Drosophila melanogaster: one gene and its partners. The protein of the gene in region 1 interacts with the protein of each later gene in a pairwise test. Each region holds a gene or a part of one and is shown in the gene's direction. Other genes may lie near its edges. The genes, in order: CG31999, Mpcp2, CG33229 and Pka-R2.

The links.
Region 2: the proteins of CG31999 (region 1) and Mpcp2 interact in a two-hybrid assay, tested with the Drosophila melanogaster proteins (one large-scale study listed by BioGRID).
Region 3: the proteins of CG31999 (region 1) and CG33229 interact in a two-hybrid assay, tested with the Drosophila melanogaster proteins (one large-scale study listed by BioGRID).
Region 4: the proteins of CG31999 (region 1) and Pka-R2 interact in a two-hybrid assay, tested with the Drosophila melanogaster proteins (one large-scale study listed by BioGRID).

Annotation. Positions count from the first base shown.
Region 1 is NC_004353.4:222,668-230,578, reverse strand, and holds the start of CG31999 (uncharacterized protein), read left to right. Parts: upstream 1-2,830; 5' UTR 2,831-2,903; intron 2,904-4,028; 5' UTR 4,029-4,744; coding exon 4,745-4,817; intron 4,818-6,139; coding exon 6,140-6,634; intron 6,635-6,692; coding exon 6,693-7,022; intron 7,023-7,566; coding exon 7,567-7,788; intron 7,789-7,842; coding exon 7,843-7,911. Other genes in the region: yellow-h, read right to left, coding at 180-668, 1,008-1,674, 2,339-2,574.
Region 2 is NT_037436.4:14,534,104-14,542,089, forward strand, and holds Mpcp2 (mitochondrial phosphate carrier protein 2), read left to right. Parts: upstream 1-3,547; 5' UTR 3,548-3,599; intron 3,600-3,622; exon of another isoform or gene 3,623-3,745; intron 3,746-3,900; 5' UTR 3,901-3,928; coding exon 3,929-4,318; intron 4,319-4,625; coding exon 4,626-4,966; intron 4,967-5,449; coding exon 5,450-5,789; 3' UTR 5,790-6,338; downstream 6,339-7,986. Other genes in the region: CG43246 (uncharacterized protein), read left to right, coding at 2,531-2,789, 2,841-3,088.
Region 3 is NT_037436.4:220,658-227,657, forward strand, and holds CG33229 (uncharacterized protein), read left to right. Parts: upstream 1-3,194; 5' UTR 3,195-3,596; coding exon 3,597-4,100; 3' UTR 4,101-4,948; downstream 4,949-7,000. Other genes in the region: pyx (pyrexia), read right to left, coding at 599-867, 932-1,221, 1,304-1,559, 1,613-1,856, 1,928-1,954.
Region 4 is NT_033778.4:10,021,085-10,028,923, reverse strand, and holds the start of Pka-R2 (protein kinase, cAMP-dependent, regulatory subunit type 2), read left to right. Parts: upstream 1-2,881; 5' UTR 2,882-3,095; intron 3,096-4,564; exon of another isoform or gene 4,565-4,721; 5' UTR 4,722-4,873; intron 4,874-7,839. Other genes in the region: CG12128 (uncharacterized protein), read right to left, coding at 480-1,216, 1,281-2,001. UniProt on the Drosophila melanogaster protein: Regulatory subunit of the cAMP-dependent protein kinases involved in cAMP signaling in cells. Mediates membrane association by binding to anchoring proteins, such as Akap200. Might play an essential role in the regulation of neuronal activity in the brain.

The DNA of each region.
Region 1 (7,911 bases):
AAAAACTGTTATTCTTTTAGTCAATTTAGTTAATTGCTTGGACACAACAAAGCGCAAAAATCTGTTAGACCCAAACCTTCAAAAAAGGTACTAGAGTATCATTTGTAACGGACGCAAATACCAAGGTTGTTCAAAAATTTACAACATTTTGTTGTGTAATTGTTTATTTACCATAGTTTTCAAAAACACTGTCCTTCTTCTATCAACACAAAAGCTGACTTTGATGTATTAATATAACTATTATCCGGATTGCAAACACTATTGCGAATAATCTTATTTACATTCGCCTTTAAAATTCGAAAATTTACTTCTCCATAATCTAGATTGCTGTATAGAAAAATTGGTAGTCGGTTACTTATAAGCCATACATTTTGATCTTTTTCTTTGTCTACTTTTAAATCATTTGGAAATTGAATAAGATTTGAGTTTTCCATATTATGAAATTTTCCCAAATGTGCTCGAGTGTATGGTTTCGATGTATCCCAGCATCCAATATCATCTTGATGAACTTGTGTAAAAAACATAATGCCATTCCTTGTAACTCCTGATGTAGATGATTGAGAATTATATCCGCGGTCTCCAATTGGTATGAAGTACTTGGCGTACTCTTGAGTATTCGTTTGCCACACAGATTCGTTTAACAAGATATTCATAGGCACCATGAACTCCTAAATGAGAAAGTATTATAATCACAATTATTATTATTATTATATCAGTTACTCGTAGAGTATAAGGGATTGCTAGTTTGGTTAATAAAAATAAAACAGAAATAAGCCTTTTCGGACCCTACAAGCTGCAGATAATTAGCTTACTTAAGATTTAGATTTATTTAAGTACCTTAAGTAAGACTGATCAAGTAGTAAGCTGTAGGAGGGGTTTTTAAAAGTAAGTCGGCGAGCCATTATTTAGACAATAAAGACAATGTTAAGAAAGGCATTTTTTAAAATCAATATCAAATCAATTCCCAGCCATTTTCTTGTCTTTATTTATATACTCCTTATACTCACCTTGAAACTTGCCATTGGATGAAAATAAAGAACGCGTTCCATTATTTTCTTATTGTAATATATACTCATTCCAAAAACACCATCCAGCCATTGAAAATTTAATCCGTATACATTAAAATCCGAAGCAAAGGGATCCGGATAAAAGTTATAGTTGGTCACGCGCCAGCTGCGGTTTTTTGATAGGCTGTAAACAAGTAGACCAAATCTCCATACATCCGATACGATAGCATGCGCATCATCGCAATCTTCTCCAATATCCACAACAATATTGGAGTGCAACGAATCTTGCTTCACATGAGAAGCTTCCAAATTGTATCGAACAATCAGTTCGTCACTTTTAAGATCATACACAACAATTTTTGGTGGGCAGATCTGATTTAAGTTTATTGTAGCATTGACAATTCCAGAATCAATTAGCCAAATTCGATCACACCTATCTACAGCTGTTCGATAAACTGACATCAGTTTTGAGCAGTCAGGATTGTTTGGATTTCCATGAGCCTCCCAGTTTGGATACGGCTTTATTGCCGGGCTTGACTCTTTTGGAGGAAAGGGCAGTGTACCTAAGCTAGCAGGCACACCATTCTTCCAACGAGGAGTTGTCACAAACAGGCGGTTATTATGGACATCAATGCCTAAAGGTAAATTATTTTTTGGTACAAAGTCTCTGTAAATATTAATATATTATAATAATTAGACAGTAAATTCAGCGCAGTAGAATAACACATAAAGCCAGATTATGATAATCCTTTATGTAACAGTCTGTAACAGCCAGAAGGAAGCGTTTCTGACCATGTTCTATATGGTCATATACAATATTCTTTATAAGGATCAATAGCCAAGTCGAACTGGCCATGTACGTCGATCTTTATTTGCATTTGCATTTTCCCTAGCTGTGTAACGGGATTCTGATAGTCGGGGATCTCGACTATAGCATTAGAGATAATGCTAGGATTTATTCATCAATATTAAAGATATGGATGAGACGCACTGAATGATTCGAATGAAAAGAAAGTATTTATAAGAACTAGTCTCCTATAGTTTTCGAGATAAGATATTAATTTGTTAATTTTTTTTCGCATTCGCAGTTCCACGAGCTGATTAACGGATATCTGATAGTCGGGGATCTCGACTATTTGTGACATAAGAGCGTCAAATAGTTTATTTTTCGAATTTTCTTTTATACCTCTCACAATACAAGCATTTTAAATTTATTAAAGGCGTATTTTTTGATTTTTTTACTAGTACTACAATTTGTTATTAATATTAATACATTTTTCAAATTATCTCTTGATTTGTAAGAAACTGTTATAACCAAATTGTTTTGTTACCCATTTAAAATAGATTGTTGGCGTTGCACAAAAGTTGAGTATAGGAAATCCAAATATTTCCATTCATAAACGATCTCCAGTTGACTTTCACTCTGTAAGTTTTGCGAAAACGACTGCGAAGTATATTCATAGCCATCAAGTGTTTGGAAAACTGGTTGAACACTTAAGTTTCCATTTAAAGTCTTCGATAAAAAAACTAACTGTGTAATTATATTAAAGATAGTCATAGACTGCATCCTAGCTGAATATTAAATAAATAATTCTCAAAAATGTACTCTATGGAATCAATCGACCAGATCTACCAACGTTTAAAGACTGATTTAATGTATGTATGTTTAAAATATCTTTTACATGCTTGTTGATGCAGATCAGAGCTTTTTTGTAAGGTATTGTGACAACGCTTAAGCTTTGTTTTAAAGCTTTTTCAACTATGTAGGTATGTATCTATCTATGTGTTGTCTTGATCTCCACCAGCCGAAATTGTTTGAATTTGTTCTTTTGTTTCGCATTTCATTCAAACGTGTAGCCTTAATTTCACTATCGGACCTGTCCCAAATTTTAATCGGTATTGAGTTTTACGAGTTTTTTCTAAACTAACCATGAGCAATATAATCCTCAGTATTAACAAAAATTTTAACTTTCATCAATTTTTTCAAATGGTTTTGATTGATCAAGAAAATTTGTATTATATTCAATATCTCAATCTATTTGCTGGCAAAAACAGCTATTATTTCAATTCCATCAAATGATTTATATAAATAAGTTTTAAAAAAATAAATAAATATTGTTTTAAAGAGTGTTGAATGAATTCAAATGTTGACATCAGATCCTTGCATGTAGATTGTTCGATCGTCACTTTTTTTCACATCTTTAAGAGTTGGTTTGGTTTGATGGGTAATAGGGGTAAATAGTCTGCGCCAAAAAAAAGTATATATATTTGTATGTATATATATTTACATATAAGCCACCATTTCCGACCCTATAAGTAAACACTTACATATATATGTATGTTGTTGATCTAGATTGCTAGCCGATTTTAAGCTCTTTGCCCCCGTCGGTCATCGTTTATCTGTGTATAGTTATTATAAAACGTAGGTATGTATGTATAATAAAATATAAAATATAATAAAAAATTCAAATTTTAAAGAGCGGACAAAACGACGGTCACAGTTAAGCAGGTATGGTTGTACCAAAGACACTAGAATAGTGTCTAGACACTAAAATAGTGTCTTTGGTTTTACCGAGATATACATACAGTTTGTCAAGAAACTGTTTGCACACTGTGAAATAAGTTGAATTTTTGGCTTTAATGGTAAAAATTAAGAGTTATTTGCTTAATTAAACGGAATTTTTTTATGAAATTTAATTAAACAATATTTATTATACTAATAAATCAAAAAACAAATTAAAATATTAAATATACAAGTCAAGAAACTCTACACATTTTGTTTTCGTACTTTGTCTTGTTTTTTTTCTTAGAACTAACTCGATTTTTCCGTGGTTTTTGGTTGGTTTGGTTTTTCCGTGGTTGGTTTTTGTATTGCATTTTTACGCTTCTATTGAAATTTTTTGACTTTGCTTGTGAAATTTTGCTGATCGAACGTGCTTAAAGTAAATTATTAAATTTGATAAAATGCCTGGAAAGAGATTAATTGTTTAAGTTACCCAATTAATAAACTATAACCACCAGTTGGGAAAATCTATTCCAGAATTAGTAGAAATGTTTTCTGTATCCCGTACGACCGTCTACAATGTTTTAAATCGCACGGAAAAAGAGGAGAGGCTTGAACCTAAGAGTCGGTTGGCGCACAACCAAAATTATCAAGCGCGTAGACCGCATTATTATACGAATAGTGATTGCGAACCCCCGAATCTCGGTCAGAGCACTTGCTCAGGATGCCAGAGAAGAATGTGACCAAATTGAATGAACATATGTATGTATGTATATTGATCATATCTTAAACGTTTTCTGCTACCTTTACCTAGTTTCAATAATTCACATTGCTCCAATTCACAAAACCTGGGATTAGCAAATAAAAGTGTGTTTAATAAGAAAATATAACAGCAGGTCGTCGAACAATAAACATATTTATGTACGTAAATACATGTAACGTATAGCGTAGGCTTATATACATACATATGTACATACATATGTCAACAGCTTGCTTTGGCCCACACGCGTTTCAGTCTTAAATCCTCTTCGTTCTAAAATTATATATTTGCTATACATACATACAAGCATATACAAACATGCATGTGTGCGCTGCTAAGTGACTGAGATAATTCCAGATAGCGTATGCACATGAGCGTTCTTTATTTTCTCATTCATTGCCTGACCTGTTCATTTAAAGCTCCCATCTTTATATTAATTTTATTTTTTACCCGGATTTGATTTCTGAACCCGTTATGTTTTATAAACTATGTGCTTTTATGTGTTTCTTGATAGTTGGAGGGCATGTCACCACCACAATGGCCAGTGGTAAGTAATGTGTAGTATACTTGCTTATATGTCAATAGATATGAATATTTATATATGTACCTGCCTACTGAAACCGCCCATTGTATATTTTGGGCAAATCTTTAAAATTGTATTAGGTTAGTTATAAAGTTATTAAGTTATAAAGTTATAAAGTTATAAAGTTATTAAGTTATTAAGTTATTAAGTTATTAAGTTATTAAGTTATTAAGTTATTAAGTTATTAAGTTATTAAGTTATTAAGTTATTAAGTTATTAAGTTATTAAGTTATTAAGTTATTAAGTTATTAAGTTATTAAGTTATTAAGTTATTAAGTTATTAAGTTATTAAGTTATTAAGTTATTAAGTTATTAAGTTATTAAGTTATTAAGTTATTAAGTTATTAAGTTATTAAGTTATTAAGTTATTAAGTTATTAAGTTATTAAGTTATTAAGTTATTAAGTTATTAAGTTATTAAGTTATTAAGTTATTAAGTTATTAAGTTATTAAGTTATTAAGTTATTAAGTTATTAAGTTATTAAGTTATTAAGTTATTAAGTTATAAAGTTATAAAGTTATAAAGTTATAAAGTTATAAAGTTATTAAGTTATAAAGTTATTAAGTTATTAAGTTATTAAGTTATTAAGTTATTAAGTTATAAAGTTATAAAGTTATAAAGTTATAAAGTTATAAAGTTATTAAGTTATTAAGTTATTAAGTTATTAAGTTATTAAGTTATTAAGTTATTAAGTTATTAAGTTATTAAGTTATTAAGTTATTAAGTTATTAAGTTATTAAGTTATTAAGTTATTAAGTTATTAAGTTATTAAGTTATTAAGTTATTAAGTTATTAAGTTATTAAGTTATTAAGTTATTAAGTTATTAAGTTATTAAGTTATTAAGTTATTAAGTTATTAAGTTATTAAGTTATTAAGTTATTAAGTTATTAAGTTATTAAGTTATTAAGTTGTTAAGTTATTAAGTTATTAAGTTATTAAGTTATTAAGTTATTAAGTTATTAAGTTATTAAGTTATTAAGTTATTAAGTTATTAAGTTATTAAGTTATTAAGTTATTAAGTTATTAAGTTATTAAGTTATTAAGTTATTATGTTATAAGGCTTTAAAATTATTACCACACTAAGGTATTTAGATTTCGGATATGAAATTGATAAATGACGAAAAAGAATGCTAGCCTCGGGCAAGGGACATCACCATATGGACTCATGTGTTGATACTGACTAAGAATACTTATAGAGTTGAAACCTTTTGATTTTTACCAATATATACTCTGGCTTAAAATATCCTGTGATCAAGCGAAAGTGAAAGTTTTATTTTGTTTTAAGACAGCATATCGGGTTATATACGAAAATGCTGTATAAATGGACTTCGACATGCTCGTACGACCGCCTCTTGCAAAAAAATCGACATAGCCCCAACAATAATCCCGCAGCTCTGGCTTGGACTTTGTCATTCTACACTTGAAGTCTGCTGTTCTCGAGAACTGGACCATCAAGATTGCGAGCTAGGTCGACTGGCTGCTTTAGACGGTACTCGCTGTGACGGAGAAGGAAATGTAACATCTAGCTCCTATGCGACATGTTGTCGTTCTTGTCAAATCGGATTAGCAGTTAAAGCGAGTAAAGCCAATTGCAAAGATCCATTATTTTCATTTATTTTCTTAATTGAATCATACCGAGCGTGCTGTTACGGATCTGCTGACTTTAAAGACCAGCCCGGTATCGACGAAATCGATAAGGCTAATTCTATTACTGATGAAGGTGAATTGCCGTTTGTTTCTGAAGAGGATATGAATGTAACTATTGTTCTTACCGGCGATGGTAAGTATATCTTATTTGTGTATCATTTGAAATCATAATTAATTGTACTCATTGGTAGATGACATATGTGGAAAAATTGAAAACCTTTGCGCTCACATATGCGAAAACACTTTCGACGCATACCAATGTAAGTGCCACCCCGGGTTTATGTTAGATAATAACAACGTAACATGCTCTCCGATGAAAACCCAAATATGTCCCAGCGGTTACAATTTAGATAAACTGGATAACAAATGCATTGACATTGATGAATGCCGGGAAGATCTTCATGACTGCAAATCATCCCAATATTGCCATAATACGAATGGCGGATACCACTGCTTAAATGTGAAAGAAAAAGAGTGTCCACCAGGATTTCATTATGACCATGATTACGATGCATGTAAAGGTAATTTTAAAAACTGTTTGAAATACAGATAAAACTAGATAGTCTAGACTAAACTGGACTATCAGTTTTACTCTGCTAGGATGGGTAATGGGATATTTTAAAATTAAAATTTATACAATAAACACATTCCATCCACAAATGTGCTGCCAATTTGGGCAGCTTTCGGCCGTGGGCGTGGCTTAAACTTTTTTGGCATATGTATTTAAAAGACTAACAATTAAATAACAAAAATGACAACGTTTCCTAAAAGTGTCGGGTGTTCCAGTTTTGGCGGTTTGCGGGCGTGAAATAAAGAGCACACCCCTGTAACATATTTTTCAATATGTCGTGTATGCCCTTTATCTCTGCGAGTACAGGTATAAGCTATGAATCGGTTCGGATATCTGAAAGTTTAAAAAACTTATATATAGCATTTTTAAATTGTATTATTTTAGTTTTTAATCAGTCTTAATCCGGTATCTGAAAATTAAAAATCCGATCTATAGCATTCCTTTAATCTTATTATTTTAGCTTTTTTAATTTGAAGTGCGTTCTATTCACTTAGATGATTACAAATGCAAAGATCGTAAATGCGTTAAAATTCAATCTTGTGATAAAGGATTCAGCTTGCATAACGGTACCTGTTCCGATATTGACGAGTGCTCACATAAATCATTAAACAACTGTCATGTCAATAGTAATCAGGAATGTGTTAACACAGTGGGAAGTTATTCCTGCAATTGCCTGCCTGGATTTAATTTGGATGCTACACTAAATAAGTGTGTTGGTAAGTACGTTTTTTCAGTAAAATAAGGATTGTTATTTATTTTGACTTCCATAGATATAAATGAATGTTCAATAAATAATCACAACTGCCTTCCAACTCAGAGATGTGATAACACGATCGGAT
Region 2 (7,986 bases), on another chromosome or scaffold:
TTTTTTCTTCTTTCCGTCGTTGATTTATGCATTGCGTTTGCGATGAGGATGAAAAGATACGTAGATACATTGCTTGGAAAACATCCACACACGACTCGAACGGCAGGGCGACTGGCTGATTTCGGGTACTCCTATACCTTAAGTTCCGGGTTGAATGCGCAAAAAAAAACTCACTAGGTTTTGCATTTTTTATTTTTACTGATGCTTAAATTTAAATTGCCTTTCGATTTAAAATAAATTAAAGTACACGCACAGTTGCGCAGCAACAATGGAAAACCAATGTGTGTGAAAGTACAAGAAGCAACGTGGAAAACATCGCCCATTTGGAAACGGAAAATTGTCAACGCACATTGAACTTGACAGACGAAAGAGAGCGCCTATCTAGCGACATAGAGAAAGAGAAAGATGGGGAGAGTGTGCGGCACATGCCTCAATTTACAGTTAACCGCGGCAGACATCCACAAGATGCAAAACTCCAAAGATACTTTCGGCCAGCGGAATGCGAATCGCGAACGGCAAACTGCGAATTGCACTTGCCGCGGCAACTTTTTCACCCGAACACGAAAAAACCACGATCTGCACGCAGAAAAAGTAGTGATAAGATGTAAGAGCGAGAAAGGTACAATAAACAAATAAATAAAATAGGGGTTTTAAGATTGCATTATAAATAAAATTTAAACCATTTTTAAATTTTTAGAACAGTTTAAGTATTAAAAGTTTGTCGTCTTGTTGTAAATTGTAAATTTCAGCATACACAGGAAGTGTCTCTATCTCGAATTTTACATTGTGGAATGACTTTCTAGCAAACAATTTCTTGCAGTGCCACAACAAAAAGTGAAGGGGCCCCAAAGCAAACGTCAAAACGCCTCAAAACGCCTCAAAAGATCAGAGTGTGTTTGTGGCGTCTCGTTTGTTGATGCGGTGGCTAATGGCTGCATATATATTCGTAAGCAAAAAAATAAAGAAATATATGGACAAGGCCTGTCTAGTCATAGCGGTACTTTGAGTGGGCCCCCAAACTGGCGAAAAAAGGAGGAGGATTGGGGTAGCTAATGACTTGGCGCCCAACTGAAGGAAGTTGCCAATTTTTGTTGCTGGTTAACTAGTCGCAACTGGTGTTGATTAGTTTTTCTTTGAATTTCTTTAGGACTCACTTCGTTTTAAATGGGCAATAAAATTCCATGAATTGTTTAAAGGAGAACCACTAACAGTCAGAATTATTAAGAAATATTAGAAGACTCGGAACCTAATTTATTAAATATAGAATCTTCCTAATGTACACAGATTTACTAAGATAATATCAATTAAAATGACCAGTTCAGAGTTTACATGTTATTTGCCGCTTATAGAAATGAGATAATCTTATGAGATCACTTACAACATGCAGTGAGCTTTTCTTTATGTTGATCGAAGGTGTTTTTAATACCATTCAAAACATTTCAAAAAGCTACATTTGCAATGTTTTATTGATTTTATCCAATACAAAGTGTAATGTTATTGTAATTGATTACTTCAATCTAGACTTTAACAGGATATTTTGAAATATTTTTAAAAACTTAATTGTATTTTCTTTAGAAAGATATATTCATTCATTTGTATATGCATATTATGTATTATATTATTATTACTTAAACCATATTTCACTTAAGTTCATATCTCATTTGTTATCACTTTTCGATTCTCCTAAATCAAACTTTCTTTTCCGCTTGCAAAAACATGACCAATCTCTTGATTACTTTTCGACTTAAGCTTCCTCTTCTCAGACTAAACCCAAATCGATCAGTTTATCGCATCCACTCTCAAGCTTTCAAAACTTATCCACATTCAATTTACTAAAACACTTTGCCGTAATCTCTATTTCAGATCCAGCTCCAGTTAGCAGACCGTTACACAAAAGCACTAACACAAAACACTTGGCAGAGCAGCTCTCCTTACGTTTAACTTTAATTACTCAATTATTTGCCAGATTTTGTTGTTTTTCACTTCTTAAGTTGGAAATTAGCCGCGAAGTACGCAGACCTAAAACGTTGGCCAACTGATTAGAGCGAGCGAGAGGCGGCGAGGGGCACAACAACGATCATATCGGATCGGATCTCGGATCGAATGGGAATCAACTATATATCGGACTACTACAGCGCGCGTGTGCGAACGCGCTACGAACCAAACTCAAACTGACGACCGAACTTCACTCCACAGAAATCCACGAGCGAGCAAACACAGCAAATACAAAAGCACAAGCAAAAGCAAAGACGGCGGCAAACAAAAAGAAAGAAGCACAAAGACAATCGAAAGACAGACTCAAAGCTTAGCGAAAGAGTCCGTTGAAGTTCTTTTGGTAAGAACCACAAAAAAGGCGGAAAGGCTTAAATAATCCTTGAACTTAATAATAACCTACATAATATAAATATCCAAGTGTATATTATCAGTCACTTTTGTTCGTTTTGTAACAATAGTCGTACATAGTGGCCTTTGGAAATACATACATAAACTTTATCAACGCGGTCTCATTGAATTATTTTTCTTATTTTAAATGTCTTTTAATTGTATATATTTTCTTATTATACTCAGTGGGAGACTGTTGATCACCTGTGCCGAAAAAAACGTATCTATAATAGAAAATGGGAGATGCTTAGATTGTAGGAAGGAAAATACGGAAATGTGTCGGATTAAAGAGACAGGATTCAGTTGTTATGAAGGAAACTTTTATAGGCGATTGGGTCGTCTACAAGGTGAATTCCCAAAAACAACCAATAAAGAGGGTGTTTGCGTTCCACCCGGACTGCATATCGGTATAAGAAGCATTTGAATAGTAATAAAAGACTAATTTTTTAATTTTACAGATACTATGAATGCCAAAGTCTGCTGCGTTTGGTCACCAGAAATCGGTTGTCAAATCTTATTAACTGAAGATCACCAGGGTGAATTTTGCTTCACTTGCAGAGTGAAATATAAAATGGAATACAAAGGCCTAATTTCCTGTCCGTGCGTAAAAAGTGAAGGATTGGGCCAACCCCATGTGAAATCATGGCAGAACTTTATTTTCACATATTTACTCATAAAATTATCCAGTTTTACCATGGGGCTATAACTTATAAATTTAAAATGTACATATAATTGAAAATTGTTATATATTTTACAGAGAGTTCTAAATACAATAAAGCTTTAGATTAAAATTTGTTTTATTGTGTAAAAATAGAAAACAAATCACAAATACTATGCAAAAATATGAGGATTTTACAAATGAATTTATTATTTTTTCAAAATATTTACAACTAATGTTATCAATATGAAATTAATATTAATAATTAATATTTTATTCACAACGAAGGCAATGGCATTAAAATAATCTCACCTGATACCTCGTATGCAGATGGTTCGAGTCCACGCTCAGGCGCCACCAAAGTTTTGCACCAAGGTTGCAGTCCATAGCCGAAGATTTTGACATGAGTGTGGCCAACTATCCTCAATCCGCTAGTTACACCTCTCCACGGCAAAACCATTAAGGCGTTTTGGTATTCGTGAGAAATCGCTGCACCTCCGTGAGCCCCCCCTCATTCTTTGAATCCTCGCCAACGAGCCGCTAACGTTGCTGACGAATAGTAAGTGCGAAAATTCCGAGCGAAAATTGCATAAGTTTTGTAAAATCGAAATCAAAGTAGCCGAGCGGTGCTCTATCGCTCCCTTAACATACACTAAATTTACGTGGTTGCTTAAAATCCTTCGCTTTTCGGGTAAATTTGGTGTCGTAAGTCCGGGTGCTCGGAATTCGAGGCACGCCGTTATGTAACCTACAAAAGCGAAAAGCAGCTGATTACCCAGCTATATATATAATTAGATAAAGCACATGTCGCCTCCGAGGTACATATATACGTAACTAATGGATGGTCTCTCTACTTTCAGCCGACCCCAGAACAAGAACAGAATCAAGATGTTCTCCAGCTTCTTTGAAACTGCCCGGAACTCGCCATTCCGCACCCCCATGTCGATGGCAAGATGCGATGCCGCCGCCCCAGTGGTGGAACCCCAGCCGGTTGAGGGTCGCCAGATCGCCGCCGCCGCTACCCCGGTGGCCAACCAGCAGGATTCGTGCGAATTCGGCAGCACCAAGTACTTCGCTCTGTGCGGAATTGGTGGCATTCTCAGCTGCGGCACCACCCACACCTTCGTGGTCCCACTGGATCTGGTGAAGTGCCGTCTGCAGGTCGACCAGGCCAAGTACAAGAATCTGGTGCACGGATTCAAGGTCACCGTGGCGGAGGAGGGCGCCCGCGGACTGGCTAAGGGCTGGTTCCCCACTCTGCTCGGCTACTCGGCACAGGTGAGATTGGGCTTCACTTTATGGGTTGCATAATCGTCTGGAGGCGAATTATATGCTCGTGACCAGGTCGGCTGACCTTAATTACATCGGTTCCGGGCTTGAAGCAGATAAAAGTGATTCGAATCGAACATTAGGAAGTTTGATTCCTAGGCTGATATCTTAGTATACCTCAGAATAACAACACACCTTTGACAACTTTATGGTTACGGGAGAAACAGATACCGAAGATAAAATCTTGGATACTACTGCAAACTGAAAAATAACTTCTGAGAAACAGCAGGCTAATCCGCGTTTCTGTATCTTTCAGGGTCTGTGCAAGTTCGGTCTGTACGAGTTGTTCAAGGTGAAGTACGCCGAAATCATTGGCGAGGAGAACGCCTACCTGTACCGCACCTCCTTGTATCTGGCTGCTTCCGCTTCGGCCGAGTTCTTCGCCGATATCGCTCTGGCGCCGTTCGAGGCCGCCAAGGTGAAGATCCAGACTATTCCCGGATACGCCAACAACTTCCGCGAGGCAGTGCCCAAGATGCTAAAGGAGGAGGGCGTCAATGCCTTCTACAAGGGTCTGGTTCCCCTGTGGATGCGACAGATCCCATACACCATGATGAAGTTCGCTTGCTTCGAGCGCACCGTGGAGCTGCTCTACAAGTAAGTAACATTTCCTCTTTAGGTATCCTCTAGTTTCTACAGCGGAAAAACTTACCAGTGCTGTGCACAATATCTGTATTCGTATTAGCGTTTTGCTATTACAATAGTTTAAAGGTAGACTGTTAATCTGTGAAATTTCAAAAGTGATATGCTAATTGATCAAAACTGAAAGTATTCATAATAAAATAAACTTTTAGCGCGTCAGCAGATAAGAATGCCATTCGTATCTAATAAATGGCACGCCAGAATAAAAACCAACGACGAATGCTTATCTTGTTCAAATATAGGAAAATCATATTATTTCAGAACTAGTTTGTTACTATGGATAAAATAAAAAAAGCAAAGCATTCCTTTTGAAGTGCAAATTAGCAGGTAGCCACTGAAAGTTCAAATGTAAAAACTAGAGCAATACCGTTCACAGTTCGGGTTGTCAAGCCCCAACGAACCCCGTTAAATCAATACTAATGATGCAACTTTTCCCAGGTATGTGGTGCCCAAGCCTCGTGCCGACTGCACCAAGGGCGAGCAGCTGATCGTGACCTTCGCCGCTGGCTACATCGCCGGTGTGTTCTGTGCCGTGGTGTCGCATCCCGCTGATGTGGTGGTGTCCAAGCTGAACCAGGCCAAGGGAGCTAGCGCCATCAGCGTGGCCAAGTCGCTGGGCTTCAGTGGCATGTGGAACGGATTGACTCCTCGTATTATCATGATCGGTACCCTGACCGCTCTGCAGTGGTTCATCTACGATGGTGTGAAGGTCGCCCTGGGCATTCCCCGCCCACCACCACCAGAGATGCCAGCTAGCCTGAAGGCCAAGCAGCATTAAGTGGGCTAGTCCAATTGGTTACCTTAAGGACAGAGTTCACTAGTTGGAGCGATTGTGGGCAGACACAGGAGCAACATACTTTTACTTTCTAACGAATTTCGGTTTCAGTATAGCGAAAATGCTTTATACTTGTTTCTCAGCAAGAATACATTAATGTTGCGTGTGTGCCATTGCACATGTACATTCCAAAACAACACTTTACGCATTTCTCTAACACAGCACTTATACACACTTTTTTATAAACACATCTTTCTAACTTTAAAAGCCAAACATTCTATCGTACGAAACTAAGCTACACTCAAGTTCAAAGTATTCAATTCCATATATATTCTGTTATACTATGTGCTATATTTAATCCTATGTGTGTCTAGCTTTCGCTGGAAAGTATGTCCGTATGTTGTACCTTTGATGGCCAGCCCCTTGTTATCTCCTCTCCGCTGCCCCCACAGGCCACACATGCGAATATGATATTAATGCTGTTTCAATTGTCTGACCCGATACCCAAGAAAGCACTCTGAATAAATTAAATTATAAAATATAAAAAACTCTACCAAGCTGCGTTTTCTAATCTTGTCTATCTATTGGGAACTGGTTATTATAGATTGTGGCTGTGATCACATTAGAACGATCGTGGGGATAACCTTATGACCTTATGATTTCCCTGACATTGAAAATGGGGTTTTATGGCGCTATAACTAACTAGCATTGTGAGGTAACCAAACAAGAGATCACGAATGCTGATTGCTTTAAAGGAAAACGGCTAATTTCGGTTTTGTTTAATCGTAATCAGCTGCCAATTGTCTGCGAGAATTTTTATGTGTTGCACAAAATGTCGATTTAAGATGTTTGAGCTAATCTATTATAATTAATATTTTAACACAATGAGCGATTTTTACATATTTAATTTTTAATAACCCACTCGATACTGTTGTAATATTTGTTTGATGCTTCTATAGAATTCGAATGCAAATCTTCATCTCAATTAAATTTATTAAAAAAAGGTTTGGACGTCTTGGCTAAATAAGAAGAACTACAGTATTTTTTCCAAAAATATTTATTTTGTTTATGAGCATTGAGCTGAATAAGACATTACAGTGGCTCGTTGTGTCATAAGTCCAGTAAAAACTAAATAATTAAATAGTACGCTTTATATATGGGCACATATATAGTTGATTTATTCACGTTACGTCAGTTGGGCTCCTTACTAACTAAATAACCTCTAAGAACTAAAAACTAGTCATCGTGATATAACTAAATTCATATGTGTATATAAATGTATTTAACAGGCAATTTTCTGGTATATTGTTTTGCTTTTGCTTCTGTATGTACAAATCGCTTAAATCTAGCTAGGTGTATATATCATATATAGTCGGGGATCTGGATCACACAGAACGATGAGGACAAAGTACTTTGTTGTCTGTAATGTGGTGATGCGAAAATTGCTGGGTTCTTTTTATTATATAATGTATTGCAGGACGTGTTTTCTTCTCCATAACAAGCCATTTCAGTCTTAGCGTTTCAAGTAACCAAAAAGATAAAAGTGTATAATGAAATAAAAAGAATAGAAATAAAAAGTAATAAAACGAATAAACTTAGGGCTACAATTTTGTTGCTTTTCTTGTGTTCTTTCATAATGTGTGTTTTGTTGGTTTTTGTTTTCTTTATTTTGCAGTTGCAGTAAATTTCGAAACAATGGTTTGCTTGAATGCTTCACGCCTCAAAATTCATCTCCTTTCATTTTTATAAGGTTTTTTTTTTCGTTTTTAGTTAACATAAATCTAGTATCAGTTATATAGATGTAGACGATCACACAGGCATACAGGTAAACATATAAATCTATCTTTTCCAAAAATTCTTTACAGTCAAACATAAAACATTTTAAAAAGTTATACATAGATTTTGAAATTCCATCAAGTTGACTAAAGACAAGACATACAAATTCGGGCTTCGCTCAGTAGAAGTAGTTATAAGCCCTCCTATCTCATTTTATATTGAGTAAACCTCAAGTCAATGGCACATTAAAATTGGGATATTTGTACCGGGTATTAGCTTAGGTCAAAAAGTTTCGTTAGTGGTAAAATCTTTTGGACTCTCCCTCTGTCAATGAAACTGATTATAACACTTTAAATCTTTTCCAATTCTGTTTCTTTCTGTTCATGTGGCCTAAATGAGAAACTTTATTCAATCGCTTGGGTCA
Region 3 (7,000 bases), on another chromosome or scaffold:
AAAGAAGGCTCCATGTTTGTTAAGATTTTAGTTTAGTTTTAGTTTAGGTTTCACTCTAAGAATGACGTAAAGAGCCACTGGAGCCCTACACAAATGTATGTATGCAACGTATTCTCACTAAAGTTACTGTATTGTATTATTTGATTTACAACATTTAATGAATGTTATAACATGGTATGCTCGAATTGAACCGATCTTCCCGTATGCATTCACTTTAGTTGATGAGCTAGGAGCTTACGTTTATAAAAGTTTATAAAATTATATTTTATGTAGGATATAAGCGTATGGTAAGTAGCCAGATAAAGATCAATATAAGCCTTTATATAAAATTCTTGTCGTTGTCTCACAAACTGAATGCCTCGGCTGCTATTGCTCCTAGTTCTCAGTTTGGTTATAGTTTTATTAAAATAAAATTCCGAAATAACGTTTTTGACGATTAAGTAATTTAATTAATTTCGTTGACCCTTCCTCATTAAGAAAAGCGAAGCGGTTTATACTAATATCTTCATTATCATTTACAATACTTTTTAGTAGAAAAAGCACATTATATTAAATAATGGTTTTTTGTGATCAGCTCTCATAGTGATCTGCCGCCTACCTTGTTAACATCCGCTCCCGCCTTTAGCAAGGCATTGCAGCAGTCCAAACTCCGCGACTGCTTAACGATGGCGGCGTGCAACGCGGTTCTACCATCTCGGTAAACGGCATTCACATTGGCTCCGTAAGATATCAGTAAATCCACGGTGCCGATTGACTGCGAAAGGCAGGCGAGGTGCAAGGGCGTTTGATGGCTGGCGTTACGGCAGTCCACCTCAGCACGGTGTTCCAGGAGCAAGCGAGCACATTCTACATAGTCGTTTTCGGCAGCTGCAATTTGTGGATTTACCAATCTATTTTGCAAAGCACTTGTAAACCCCTTGCCACTACTCACCCAAGTGCAGGGCCGTAACCTTTCCCTCGCCAAACTGCGATCGCACGTCGGCGTTGTGACTGAGAAGAAGCTGGACGCATTTGGCGAATCCTGCGGCGCTGGCGGTGTGCAGTGGAGTTTCAGTGTACACCTGCGGTGTGTTTGGGTCGGCTCCGTACTTCAGCAGGATCTCAACGCAATCCACGGCATTCACATCGATGGCATAGTGCAGAGCGGAACGCTTTTCGATCCCAATGTTGATGCTCGCTTTTCGCCGCAGCAACAGCAGGATGCATTCAACGCTTTTTGAGCTAATAGGGAGTCGCTTGATTAAAACTACGTGTCTAGTGCTGTGCACATGTGGGAAGCGCAATCAAATGAATGGCCTTTTACCTGGCCGCACAGTGCAGCGACGTGACCTCCTTCCTGGCATCCCAGCGATTGGGGTCAGCGCCGAAGTCGAGGAGAACCTTAGCTATGGGAGCGTTTGCCCGACAGCAGGCGAAATGCAGTGGGGTCCGACCCCGACTGTCCGCCACATTCGGATCCGCGTTGTAGTGTTTTAGTAGGAAGAGAGTATTCTCTACGCTCCCGAATACCGAGCAGCAGATCAGCGCCAGATTGCAGTCAGCAGAGTCGGTCATTAGTTCTATGTGGGGGTTAGTCTGGGATATGTTAGGTACCGTGCTGTGAGGTACTCACCCAGGAAACAGCCAGATTGAACCATGTCCACGACATGCTTTCCGCCTGGAGACTCGGTCAGGGTTTCCTTAACCTCGTCGAGGTCCCAGAGGATCTGGTTCTGCTGTTGGCGCGCAAATATCTCGTGCGCCTCGTCGCTAAAAACTCCGGCGCTGTTGGCCTCACTGGATATGCTCCGCTTGTCCAAGAGCAAGTCTACATCCGCCGTCGGATCGCTTTCCGAGTTCCACTTCAAGTCGTTTTCCTTCCAAAAAGAAACAAAGAATTGCAGGCGGCTGAAAGCGCGAGGCATGTAGGCCAAGTCGTTTTACTTACAATAATTGAAAAGCGCACGTTCTCCATCTTAACGCCGCCACTTCTGTCTGCGCCGATTTGTTTACACTCCCGTGGACCAAACAACAATAAACTTTTGGATGCGGCCGAGTCGGGCGACTGTTCAGCTGGCTCCGGCTGCTGTTCGGGTCGGCCCACCCTTCTTGTTGGGGTCGACTACTTACACTTATTCGCGGAGATAGGCTGCGATCGCTAATAAGTCATGACACGCAAATAATTATCCCCAGGCCAATATGTGCGGACACTCAAAATCTCTTGTGCCCCTAATTTGTGTGATATTGCTGCATGTGTGGCGACGTTCTCTTGTGCGATCGGTTTACTTCGATATTTGTTGGAATATCTGGATGTCTGGCGGATTCTTCGCACCGCTGGCAATGGCAATCTGTGCTAATTTTTCACGTTCGCAGCTGCTCCCCCCACTTTCCACCTTCGCAGTTGCCACTGATCCGCCACTGGATATGTTAATTGTGTGCACGACCGACGGCAGCTAAGTTGTACGTCGAACTGAACCGATCGTTCCAGATCTCGGCCTCCAGTGCCTCCAACACTTCGCACTTGTTCATCGTAGGTCTACTTGCGGTACGGACGAGTGAGCGGCTAGCAAGGTGCGTAGGAATATAAAACATACTGTTAAATAGCCCGCCAACCAATCTCTAGACGCCAGCCCTGGCATTTTGCCATATTCAACTCGAAATACACTACATGTAAGTTAGGGGTAGTATTTTGTTGAGGATGTCCCATACTTCGACATATATCGCTGCCTTTTCATAATTATAGGGATTTTTTGCAGTGTACTAGGTCCGTTGAAAAGTACCTACAAGGTATACAGTTTATATTAGGCAGCAGATGTGGCAACGCCCATTCTAAAAATCTATGAAGCCGGCCAAAACTGCAACACCTCCACTTATGAAAAGTGTTTTGGTTTTATTCTTCTCATTATTTTATTTTTATTTTATTAGTCTATTTCCAATTTCTACCGGTATACCATCTAATGCACAGCAACTCTCCAAAATGTTTTATATATTTTTTTTCCTGGGTAACGGGTATATCATAGTCGAGAAACTGGACCTTATCGTTCTCTTCTGCTCTTATATGCAAAACAGATCAACAGATCAATGTAGAGCGCAGATTATAGTTACAATTTCATAGAAGACATCAATCACCCCTCGTTAGACTGTCCCAACCAATATACTGAGTCAGTATACTTTTGCGGTATTTTTTAGGATTTTTTGTACATACAAAATGGACGACTCATTAAAATTAAGTTAAAAACCACTACTTTGAATTGAAGTTTTTTGCCATGCCCATGAAGACCACTAAAATATGACGTCGGACATCGATTTTCAAGAAACGAGACCGTGTTCTTGTGTGGTTATCACGATCCGTAGGGCCAGCATTCGAGCAGAAATCGTCCCCAAAAAACAGTTTCCCTGCTGGCTGAGACAAGAAAAACGCGTAGATTTGCGAGCAGAGCTATAAAAGGGCGCGCAGACAACGCGCTCTACCCAGTTAAAAAGAGTGCGTTGTGTAGAACAGTCATAAGCAGTCCGCTAAGAGATTAGTAGCAACTACGAAGTGAAGGTGTGTGTATACCAAATTCTCAATTTTCTCTTCGAGTCGTCGCAAACAAAAACCCTGTGAGATCATCGAAATGGTGGCGTACTACGACGAGTGCGACGCAGCCGAGAACCCCAAGACCCTAACCGACTGGGTCCGTAACTTCCGCGTTAAGCGCCAGAAAATGCGTCGCAAGCTAAGAGGCGCTGGCAGCGACCTACGCGTGAACGCCATTTTGTCGACGGCCCTGCTCCACGCAGAGCACGAGCTGCGTAGAAAGCAGCAGGAGCGCTTCAGTCGCTGGCTGGACATTCAAACACGGTTTGTGCCCCACGGCAGAACGCACTGCGCCAGTGACGCGTACTCTGCAGTGGCGACCTCGACCACCAAGGCTGCCGCAGAAGCAGAGGCGGAAAGCAATTTATGGAGCAGCGAGCTTAGTAGCCTCGACAGTTTTATGCGTAGCTTAAGCAGCAACAATGGCAACCAAGACACATGCAACAACAATAACAATGGGAGCAACAGTTACACGGGCGCCAGCAATAACAATAACAGCAACAATGAGCAGCACAGCTGCGCCATTGCCGTGGCCAGTTAGTTAGACAGAGACGACCGTATGGTGCGTACTTTATGTGTATGCGTGGCTGACACACACATCTATATAAACAAAATGGCGTCAGGATGGAAGGAACCGTTTAGTTTTCAGCTGCCCGTTCGAATCAAACCGTATACCATTGTTCAAATACGTAGCTTTAGCCCTATTTGTCTTCTGTTAAAATAGTTTTATTACGACAACCAATTTCTCATTTGCAGTCGCAAACATGTGCAAGGCTGTTGTAGATTGTAAAGAAAGAATGAAGGATTGGAAGAGTGTGAGGAGACGCTGAGCAAACGGCCTTCAAATCGAAAGTGGTGTGAGTCATGGGCGCTGCCACCATCTATGCGAAAAGCCCACCAAGCATTGGTCACGGAGCACACTCGGTTTGTAAATAAGTATATTTTTTTTAGTTAAATTACGTAGCTTAATGAGTGTGGCGAAATAAGACGTCGCTTACAGGCATCCCAAACGTCACGAAATCGGTCAGACAAAGAAAAAAAAAACTCGATATACTTACACAATGCATACACATTAACACATCTACATGTCGCGATGGTGTGTGAGCATGAACGCTCGTGCTATTTTTGTGTACACCAAGTTGAGCTACTTTTGTTGTCCGATGTGTCGAGAAATTCGATTTCGAATTAAATTCGAACGTTCGTCATCGCCACTTCTGCGAGTTACATACGGTTCATATTGAATCACTAGCGCTAGAAAACGGGCAATATTGCAAAGTAAACGAGTGAAAGTCGAAAACCCAACTATTAACTGTAAATGTACTTAAAGTAAGCATACAGAACTGATATTTGATAAAACCTAAAATAAAACTATTATAATTAATAACTGTTAAAATCAACGTTGCCTTTATTTATTATTCACCCAGACCAGACTCAGATTTGTTGCTAAGCAAGCACCAACCCTCTCCCCGTTTGACATAACCCGCACCTATAATCAATTTTGTTTTGCAGTTTCCTGCTCCTCGCACGTTAATGGCAACGATGATGAGGAACGGAACACAAACAAGAAACTACGTCGCAGTGGGTCACTGAATGAATCCGCGTCCCGGTAGCAACAATAGTTCGACTATGGCTGGTACTGGTAAAGAAGAATCCCGAACACGATCGTCGCAGTGACGATGACGTTGCGTTGTAGAATTACTGAGTGAGTCTCAACGTCTGTCCGAGTCCCCCCACGTCCACCGCCAGGCACTGAGTTCCGCAAACCAGCCGATGGCCGATTCTACACAGATCGCCGGAGCAGGGAGCAGCAGCAGCAAACACCACCGAGTCTCCTCTGCATGCCAATGCCCATGCAATTCAGTCGCAGCGGACAGAACATTGGGGACAAGGCGGAATGCGCGCGGCAGCAGCTCCAGCTCGCATCAGCTTACCTGCGTTTGAAGCTCTCGTGCTGTTGCCAACCACCGACAATCACCACCTATTCTGCATTGAACGCTTCGCAGCTGCTGATCACCACCCACCCATCCGCACAGATACACGGTATTTGGTATATCAGCTGCGAACAAAATATTGCTTTTTAAACAAAATTCCAGAGAAAAGAACAGCGGAGCATTCATTTATCATCGAAACGACATTGAGGAACTGCTGTAATCCTTTCGGGTGAACACCGTGTGCGATTGTTATTGTGATATACAATTGAAAGGCAGTCGTCGAGTTTTTATCTTTCTGTCTTCGCTCGGTACACTTTTCTGGACTTCTCTTTCACCGTTTGTGATTTTGGCAAGCGATTATTGGACCCCTTTCCATTCAAACTCCCCATCTTCCTAATCAATAGGCTAGATAAGGCCGCTTAAATCTTTGTAGCTGCATGTCACAGTTGATCGGTTCCTGTGGGTGCTTTTGTTTGATGGGATTGCTTTGCGGTCTTCAAGTATTCACGGTCTTGAGGGCTCCAGACGAGGATCTTTCCAGCAAATCTATGCGCAAGCAGGCGTCAAAGAGTTTGTAGACTAGGCACGACCATCACATTTCGTTTTTTTTTTTTTTTTATAGCGTTGCATCGCAGTTGATCGGTGCCTGCGGGCATGTATAAATGGAATCTAGCGAGGCGGAAGATTGAGGTCTTCAATTCTATGGCCCCAAACAACGCTCCTGCGACATCAATCCCTCAATTAGAATATGTGCAAAGAAGCATAACTAATCAACTGAACAAGCGTAAAAGCTAAGATATATGCAACCGATATCTTTTCTTTCGTATTTTGTAGAAATACATTTTCATGGACTGATAATCTACAGAGAATACCAACTCGGCGCTATGGGCCCGCCCAATACATGTAAATTTGTGATTTTATGTCCAAAATATTTTTTGTCTTGTAGCATTATGGGTGCAGTTGAATGTACCTGCCCATAATTAAAGCCTGCAAATCAAGAGTTATTGTTAAACGCAAGAGGGAACATTTTGAACAGACTCAAATCTGTACACGGCCTCTGTAAGGAATGTGCAATCGATACCCTTTTCTCTCGTATTTTATAGAAATACATGTTGTGGAACAGTTTAGATGCTATGGAATTGTACCACGTAGTTGGACCACCACACAAATTTAATTAAAGTATGGAGAAAAACTTTTTTCTGTTTTCAAGCTGTTCCCGTTGAATGTGCCTGCCCACATCTCATCTATAGCTTCTGAGTAAATCCAACAGCGAACCGTCTATTCTTGGGACTTTAACAGCGTTTGAGAAATGGTTGGATCTTTACATTGCTCATTTAATACTAAAGTTAATCTTCTTTCCCAATACCTAGACGCTTATTTATGAATTCATTGCAGTGTTTATACAGAGACATCGGTTTCAAGCAACCAGTCTTATCAATCACATAGTTGACATACCAGTGCACATTTGCCTGTATTAAAACCAACCGAGAACATGTAGCAAAATTTCTTG
Region 4 (7,839 bases), on another chromosome or scaffold:
CATAGCTAATCATGACCAGCGACAATGTAGCTACATATTACATTTAGAGATTCAGTTGTGAAGCCTCCTTACGACATACATATACTTTCAGTGTGTAAATAACAGAGGTACAGACAGTCCATCCTATAGGGACAACTAGGTTATTATGTTTAAGTTACGAATGAGTCGATAGACAATTGTAATGTATATGTATGTAAGTGATAATGCGAAAAATGTTAGGAGATCAAAATCTTAATTCTTGCTTGGACATTCGAGTTTGAAATTTAAAATCGTATTAATTTAGTGTGTAAGGATAAAGTTATTAGAACATTTCGAACAAAAGTATATGTCTATATAGGAATATAGCTCGTTATAGCTCGCGTCAACAAAAAACAAAATAGTATACACGCTTAGTGGAATAACAAGAAAATCAAAAGCGAAACTTTAAGCAACACATACGGATCTGTATATTTACAAAAATAAAATTCCAACTATTCCCATTAATCGAACCGACTTAAGTCGTCATCTGCACACGAGTGGCTTGTTCCAGAAACGGTGGTGGATGAAACCACTTCAAAATCGTCTTGTGCTGGGGTGTTTTTCGCTAATTCCTCGGAGGAATCGGCAAAAGGATTGGCCGTCAGTCGAGCCACTTTCGGCAATGGTTTTGAAAATGAAGGTTCATCAACGACTGTTTCATCAGGAGTATCCTCTACTTGCTTCCTTTTCTTTTGCTTTTTGCTAACTAAAACATCTCGCCGTACTGCAATGCCTGAATCCTCACTTTTAGGTAGCAGATCAGTCAAATCGATCTCCACATCAGCCACTTGCGGTTGCAGTTTCTCCTGGAGAGCCGCTAAAGCAATCAACAGCGCTTCCTCGGTGCGAATGGTTCGAGATCCTTGGCGTGGTAAAACATTTACATAGTGGTCGAACAGCAGCTCAGGATCATCTACGGTCAGTTTCTCGTCGTTGGCCAAGGCAGATTCCAAGCCTTGCAGTCCGCCAAATACAATGAGCATGTGATTAAAGTTATATGATCGGTTGGGCACCTCATGTACGTTGGTTCCGCGATCCGAGGTACCCACCGTAACATCGTAGCCGGTTGCGTAGGGTGATTTGGTAAAAATCTCAGACATGGAGTGTGCGATGCGCACCTGGTAGCCCCAATAAACACCTGTTTCCCGACGTGGTTCATCCGGGCTAACTAGTGTTCCCCGCTGCTTTCTACAGCTCTCTGTTAGGACGAATAGTTCATTAGTTCGGCACTGGGAGCACAAATGTTCGATTTAAATGCCTACCACTTTGAGGTTCCATTTTTACAGTTACTCTGACGCCTGGTTCTATTGCCTTGTCAACCAAAACGTCGTTAAGCAGCCCCACGTTGGCGTAGCTGTGTCCCTCCTTGGCCTTCTTGTCGCAAATGACGCCCTCACGATACCTGAATTTGCTCTGTTGACGGAGATGGTGCGGTGTGTCCAATGGATTCAGCAAGCCAGAGTACTTAAGGTCTTTGTGCAGCGGGAAGAAGTATTTTCGGAGATACTGCGGGCATTCCAGATACTGCAATATGCGTGCCAGTTGTAATGAGCTGCTGCGCACAGTGCCAGTGCTGCTGCCTTCCCCATCTGCCTCGTAACTACGCTTTGTTTCCCGGGCGGTGGCTATACCCACGTCGTCGAAGACGATTACCTCGTTCACCCGAAAGATGCAGGCGGCCCGGGCTATTTGACCGGCCACGTAGGCCCGCAGCTCGTTGGATTGGGCATTCTCGAGAATTGAACCGGGAACAGCTATGCTCAGCGTGGACGGATTAGGCTTATCCTTAGCCTGCACCTCATTGGCTGCCTTTCCCGCCTGTGATTCTGCCTCTTTGGCTTGCTGCAGCTCCTTGAGCAGCTTGTCCTGCTTGCGCTGCCGCTTCAACGCTTTCCGCTCCTCGTTCACCTTCTTCCAGGACTTGTGGGGCCCAATAGGCCTCCCATTGCTGCTGGCTGTGGGGGCGGCGAGCATCGTTTTCATCAACAATTCGTTTACTCGATTGAAACTGTTGCAAACAAAATACGCACGTGCAACCTCGGTGGACAGTATGTGGTCTGAACATAATACCAGTGTTGGTATCTATCGGTTAATGGTATTAATCGGTCAGGTTCATAATAATGCACAGATTTTTCATTCCACCTGGTAACATATGTAGTTCTCTCAAGAAGTGAAATGAAAACATTTATTGCGATTTGAATTTAAAGCGCTTGATTCAATAAACATGGACAATGGGAAGGAACAGTCCAGTCCGGAAACGCACAGTACGCACCCGCTATTCAAAGCGAAATCCGGGAAAACCGAGATCCCAACCATTGATGAAGCTGTGGACTATCTACAAATCCGAGCTATAGAGCTATCGAGTTTGACATCTCCGCCGTTAGACTATACAATGATGCGATCATCATAACGCCCTTACGGATGATCAGTGGACAGTCGGATCGACCTGCATCTTGTTTTTAAAATATTGCATCTTAAACGTTTGTTTAGACCTCGCTTCAGTTCCCACTGTTTGTTATGACCACCAAAGGAATTATAATAATAAAAAATGATTTTTATATTATTAGTCCTTCAAAATGGACTATACGTCCATTTAATGCTGCATTTAATACGTCATTGTGTTATCATTTTAGGGGTTTCTTTCATTTAAGTAGTCAATTTTTCTTACATATATTTTTATTTAATTTTCTAAATATCTGAAGACAACCGTTGAAAAACTTACGTTACAATTGCCCCGCTTTGGTATGTTCTTCAGTATTTTTACACCCACACGCAAGAGAGCTGGCCGCGAGAGAGAGAGAGCTTCCGCTGAGAGCGAGCTTTTGCGGGAGCACCAAGTCTATTTAAGCAACCCGCAATTCAAAACTTTTTGTAATTTTTGCCTGACACGGAATCGGAATACAGAGGCTTCTGCTTGCGATATATTTCACCGTTCGCACTTGTTTACGTTTGCCATTAAAATTTTTCAAAAAATCTAACGAGTAACAGCGGTTGAATCGCCGGTGGCAAAAATATAGAACCGTGTGCCGTTGTGCGTTGGTGGATCGCTGGAAAATGTGCGTTTAAAAGTCGAAAAAGTAATTGCACCGAAGAGAAAAGCCCGAAAAACAAAAAAGCGTGCTCGCAAATTAACTCCAGCTTCGCGCCGCCCCCCGCCCCCCGCCCCTACACCTGTGCACTTATCACCTCTCGCTCTCTCTTCAATTGTGCAAGTGTATGTAAAAATGTGAGAGCAGAGAGCAAAAAAAACCACACTACGTGCGCGTAATAAAAAACGAAGTGGGCTGTAGGCGGGAGGCGGTGTAGGTGGCCTGCCTCCCAATCCCTCCCCCGAAAATACAAAATACATACATACAGAAATCTACCTATCCGCTGCTTTTGTTGTTGTGTTGTTGTTACTTGAAGGTTTTTTTCGGTGGGGGACAATCAATAAACACGAGAGCTGCGTGTGAAAAAGAGACAGCGAGTGCGGAGTGCAGGTGGAGAAAGGGGATCTCAAATTGGAGCGCGAAGAGATTGAGAGAGAGTGGGGAGCGAGAGAGGGGCTTGCGCATATGATTCAAATGCCGGTTTTGAGCGCTCTATTTTTCGAGTCTTAAACAAGTGCAGTGATCAATTAACTAAATACTTGCCCTAATCAGTAGTTTTTTTTTTGCCAGATATCATATCTTGTTTGGATTTAACAATAGTTAAAGAATAGTTCAAAAAAGTGCAAGTGCAAGTGCAACTGCTACCTGCGTTATCGACGCCTATCGATATTCGGAAATTGGGTCACGGGCGCCAGCTTTTCAGGATGCCAATCAGAATTAGCCCCTACATTATTACAAACCCAAAAAAGTCAAGCAAAATAAAGTCAATTTACGTAGGAGTTGCAAGAAAGTAGAGAATAAACAACAATACAAATGCCTAATTATACACAAAAACCAACATGTTTATTTAGGCCAACTTGAACAAATTATTTCGCAAAAAAAAAAACAAAAGTTCCTCCATCGTTTAGCAGGTTTTGATCAAATTTGAGCAATAAGCAAAATAATCACGTCAATTTTGTTCGCTAATTTGTGTTTCCTATTAGGTTTTGCAAAGTGACAACCAGAATTCACTTCATATTTTATTTATAACCGAACAAATGAATTGTGCTGGCTCGCTGTAGCAATTCAAAAATAAACAACAATTGCAGTTAAGCACACAAGAAAACAAAAATGTCTGTTCAAGCGAAAAACAATTTCGGGCACCCAATTAATTAAGCAGTTACATTGGCGAACAACAAAAATGTTTTTCTTCAAAGCTTAAACGAAATTTTTGCAAAACCTGGTTAAATATTGGTTTACGTGACTTTTGGCATGTTATTATTTCATGCCTTTTGGGAATTAAATATTAGGCATAAAACAAATAAAGTGAAACCAGACCAAAACTAATTACATACATGTACAAAAATTCACCGTATTGAAAATTGATAAGATTGAAAATTAGTTTAATGGCTGGAGCTCGTCTAATTGATGTTTCAAAAGTGTACCTCACGACAACTAAAAAATCGCTCAAATCTCAGTAAATACGAATCCAGCAATCAAAATCTATTAACCGAAATACTTTCAAAACATCAAACAACAGCGAAAGCGGCAATAAACACCAACATCAACGATCCAAAAATAAATGTAGAAAAACAAGGAAAGTCCATGAGAGTAACAAATTAAATTTGGTTTTAGCCAAAACAACAAAAGCAAGCTAAGGAACAAGGCAAAAAAAGTCAGCGAAGAAAGAGACGGAGGAGCAGGTGAAACAGGTGGACGCAGGAGACCCACCCACCCGAAAGAAACTATCACCACCAGCAGGTGACAGCAAAGCAGCAGAAAGTCAGGTGAGTATCGCGCCGCATTCGCATTGGAATCCATTCCATTCCATTCCATTCCTTTCCATTCCGCTGCCATTTGTGTTTGCTCCCCGTGCGATTAAATATTTCACGCGCTTATCAATTGCTCAAGGGTTGGCATTGCTTGATAAACAAACAACTAAACAACTAAAGAGCAAACAGAAATTAAAAAGCCAGCAAAAGTCGCCTGCTTGGGCAGGTGGGTCGCCAGGTGAGGTTATACTACAGCTAGTGTGGCGGGGATCGAAGTGCTCAGAAAGCCACTGAGATATTCTGGAATGAGCCCCACCATATATGTACCCATACCTCTACTCGAATATTGTTGAAATGAGTACGCGGGCCATAAATCAGTGAATACCCCCGGATAACTTTTATAGAATTCGCTTCTATAAGTTTGAAAATTAAAGAAAAGCATTCAAGTACAACTAGTATGACTAGTTGGCACACTTCACTTCATAATTTAGGAAAATTATGAGTTTTGCTGCTCAGTCAGGCACCCGTTGTTTCTACAAATGTATATATACTTCACCTTTATAAAGCAATAATTACTTTCATAAAAACTTAATAAAAGGGTTGGACAAGCTTTATAAAAACAAAAATAAACATATAAATGGTACTGTAAAAAGTACTAGGCGTGGACTAAATCGTAAAATCATTTTGCTCAAATAACTTAAAATTCTTTGTCTAGATTTAAATGTAACCCAGATTTCTTTGAAAATAACAACAGGAACTATTAAACAACTGGAAGGTGCCTTTCTATGCAGTGCCATCTATTTTTAAGACTTTTAAACTGCTTGAATTCAAAATTCCCCAGTTACACCCTTTTTTATGTAATCCGACTACATTTCCCGTTCTTAATATCCTCTTTTCCCCTGTTGCAAAACGGAATCCAGATAATAAATTCTCGAGCTCCTTCTCGATGAGCTGTATTTGCAATTAATTCCTCCATTTTGTAAACTTGGCATCTTCGCCAAACGGACAAAGGAGAATAAGAGCCCAGCAACACAGTTGGCCAACAACCAACAGGCGAGAGACAAACATCCATCAGCAGCTCAAAGAAGCTGGGTTCGGAAAATCGAATTTTTAAAATTTGAAAGCTAAAATCGTTTGCCCGTTTTTGCCCACCAATTAGTTTTTTTTGCCTACGTTTTGAAATATTATATTTTGAAATATAAATTTTCGAAAATTTTTGGAAATCAAAAAATTGACTTTTTAACGTTTGCACACCATTTAAAATTTGTTTTTTTTTTTCGTTTGCCCAATAAATAATTTCGTTTGCCTATCCTTTAAAATTAGTTTTTTTTTTTGCCCACTCTTATAAAACAAAAATGTCGAATTTTTTGGAACTTCTTTGAAATTTCATATCTCAAAAACTGGACGTGGCAAAAAAACCAATTGGTGGGGTTTTCCAGCTTTCGAATTTCAAAAATGTGATTTTTCCAAACCCAGCTTCTTTGAGCTTCCATCAGCGGCAAAGCACACAATTTCCAAGCCAAATTCAATTTCGAGTTAAGAGGGCGAGATTGTGGCCCGAATCTGTGCGCACCACATATACACACACAGATACATACACACATAAAGAAAGCCGTGGCAGGACGACTTCAATGCGTATTCGATTCAATGGCCCGGGGCCACCACCCTTGAATGGCCCTTATTCCGCCACCATGGCCTCGGGCCCACTAGCACCCACTCCCACTCCCACTCACTCCCTTTACTTTCCTTTGCCTTCCTTTCTGCTCATTGTCGTAGGACGGCGGGAGATTCCTGTCATGTCCTCACGTTTCCTGGACCCATGGAGCTTATACTTCAGCTGGGCTTAGTTTCAGCTGGGATTCCTCGTTTATTGATTGATTCGATTCCCCGCATTCGTGTCCAGTCATAATGGATACCCCTGCACGGGCTGGAATAGAAAGTCATCAATAATATTTGCTCAACACGGGGAAATGTTCTAAAAATACAACTAAAAACTAAATTCTAGTGGAGCCAGCCCTCCCCCCCAACGAAAAGGAACTAATGAAAAAGTTGCCAGTCGGATTAAAGGCATTTTTATTGACAGCAGTCCTTTGGCTTCCATTTATGTTTCATATTTTTTAGGCGGCCTGTAACTGGAATTGACAAGGGTGAATACAGCGGCACGTGAAAAACTCATCACAAAAACGAAAGGACAATGAAGGCAAGAAGCTCTCTTTATTGTCCTCGTTTTTTGTTTTTATTCCCGGCGATATATGTACATCTTTCATTCCATTCTCTTTTATGCCAAACAATTGGCTGGGAAAATTGTTTTTCAATTCTGATTCGCAATTAATTTCGCAATCCAGAAATAGAACGCATCGCATAAACAAAGGCAACGCGGCGTATGCGCAATATTTGCTGAATATTCAATTTCCACCTGGTGGTCGAAAAACATGGAAATCAGCTTTGGTGCGCCGTCAAACTTAAGTTGATATTATTAATTAGTCGCAAAAGTTTTTTGTATTCTGATTTGCGGTGATAATGCCTCAAAACTTTGACGGATATTAATAAATTATGTGTAAATATGAAAAGTGAGTCACACACTCTTGGAAAAAATTATTGCGCATAATTTGCGTCTTCTTCAAAAAGTGGCCAAGAAAATTTCTTGGTGCTGCCTGAATAAATAATCATAATTCAAGCAAAAAAAAAACGAAATAAAAAGAAATATTCACACAGCGAAAATTTAATTGTTTGGCCAAAAGGAAAAAAGAAACGAACGGAACGAAACGGTACGGACCGAAAACGGCCAATAAAAGCCACGACCTTCGGACAACAAAAAGCGAACAGAAATTGAATCAAACCGCCCAACACTGCCCTCTTTCTTTATGTGCGTATATATAGAGTGTGCTAAGGGGATCCAGATTGCTATTCAGATTCGGGAGGCTTTTCAATAATTCCCTTTTTTATGTCCAACAAGCAATTTTGCTCCACCAATTAGGGCA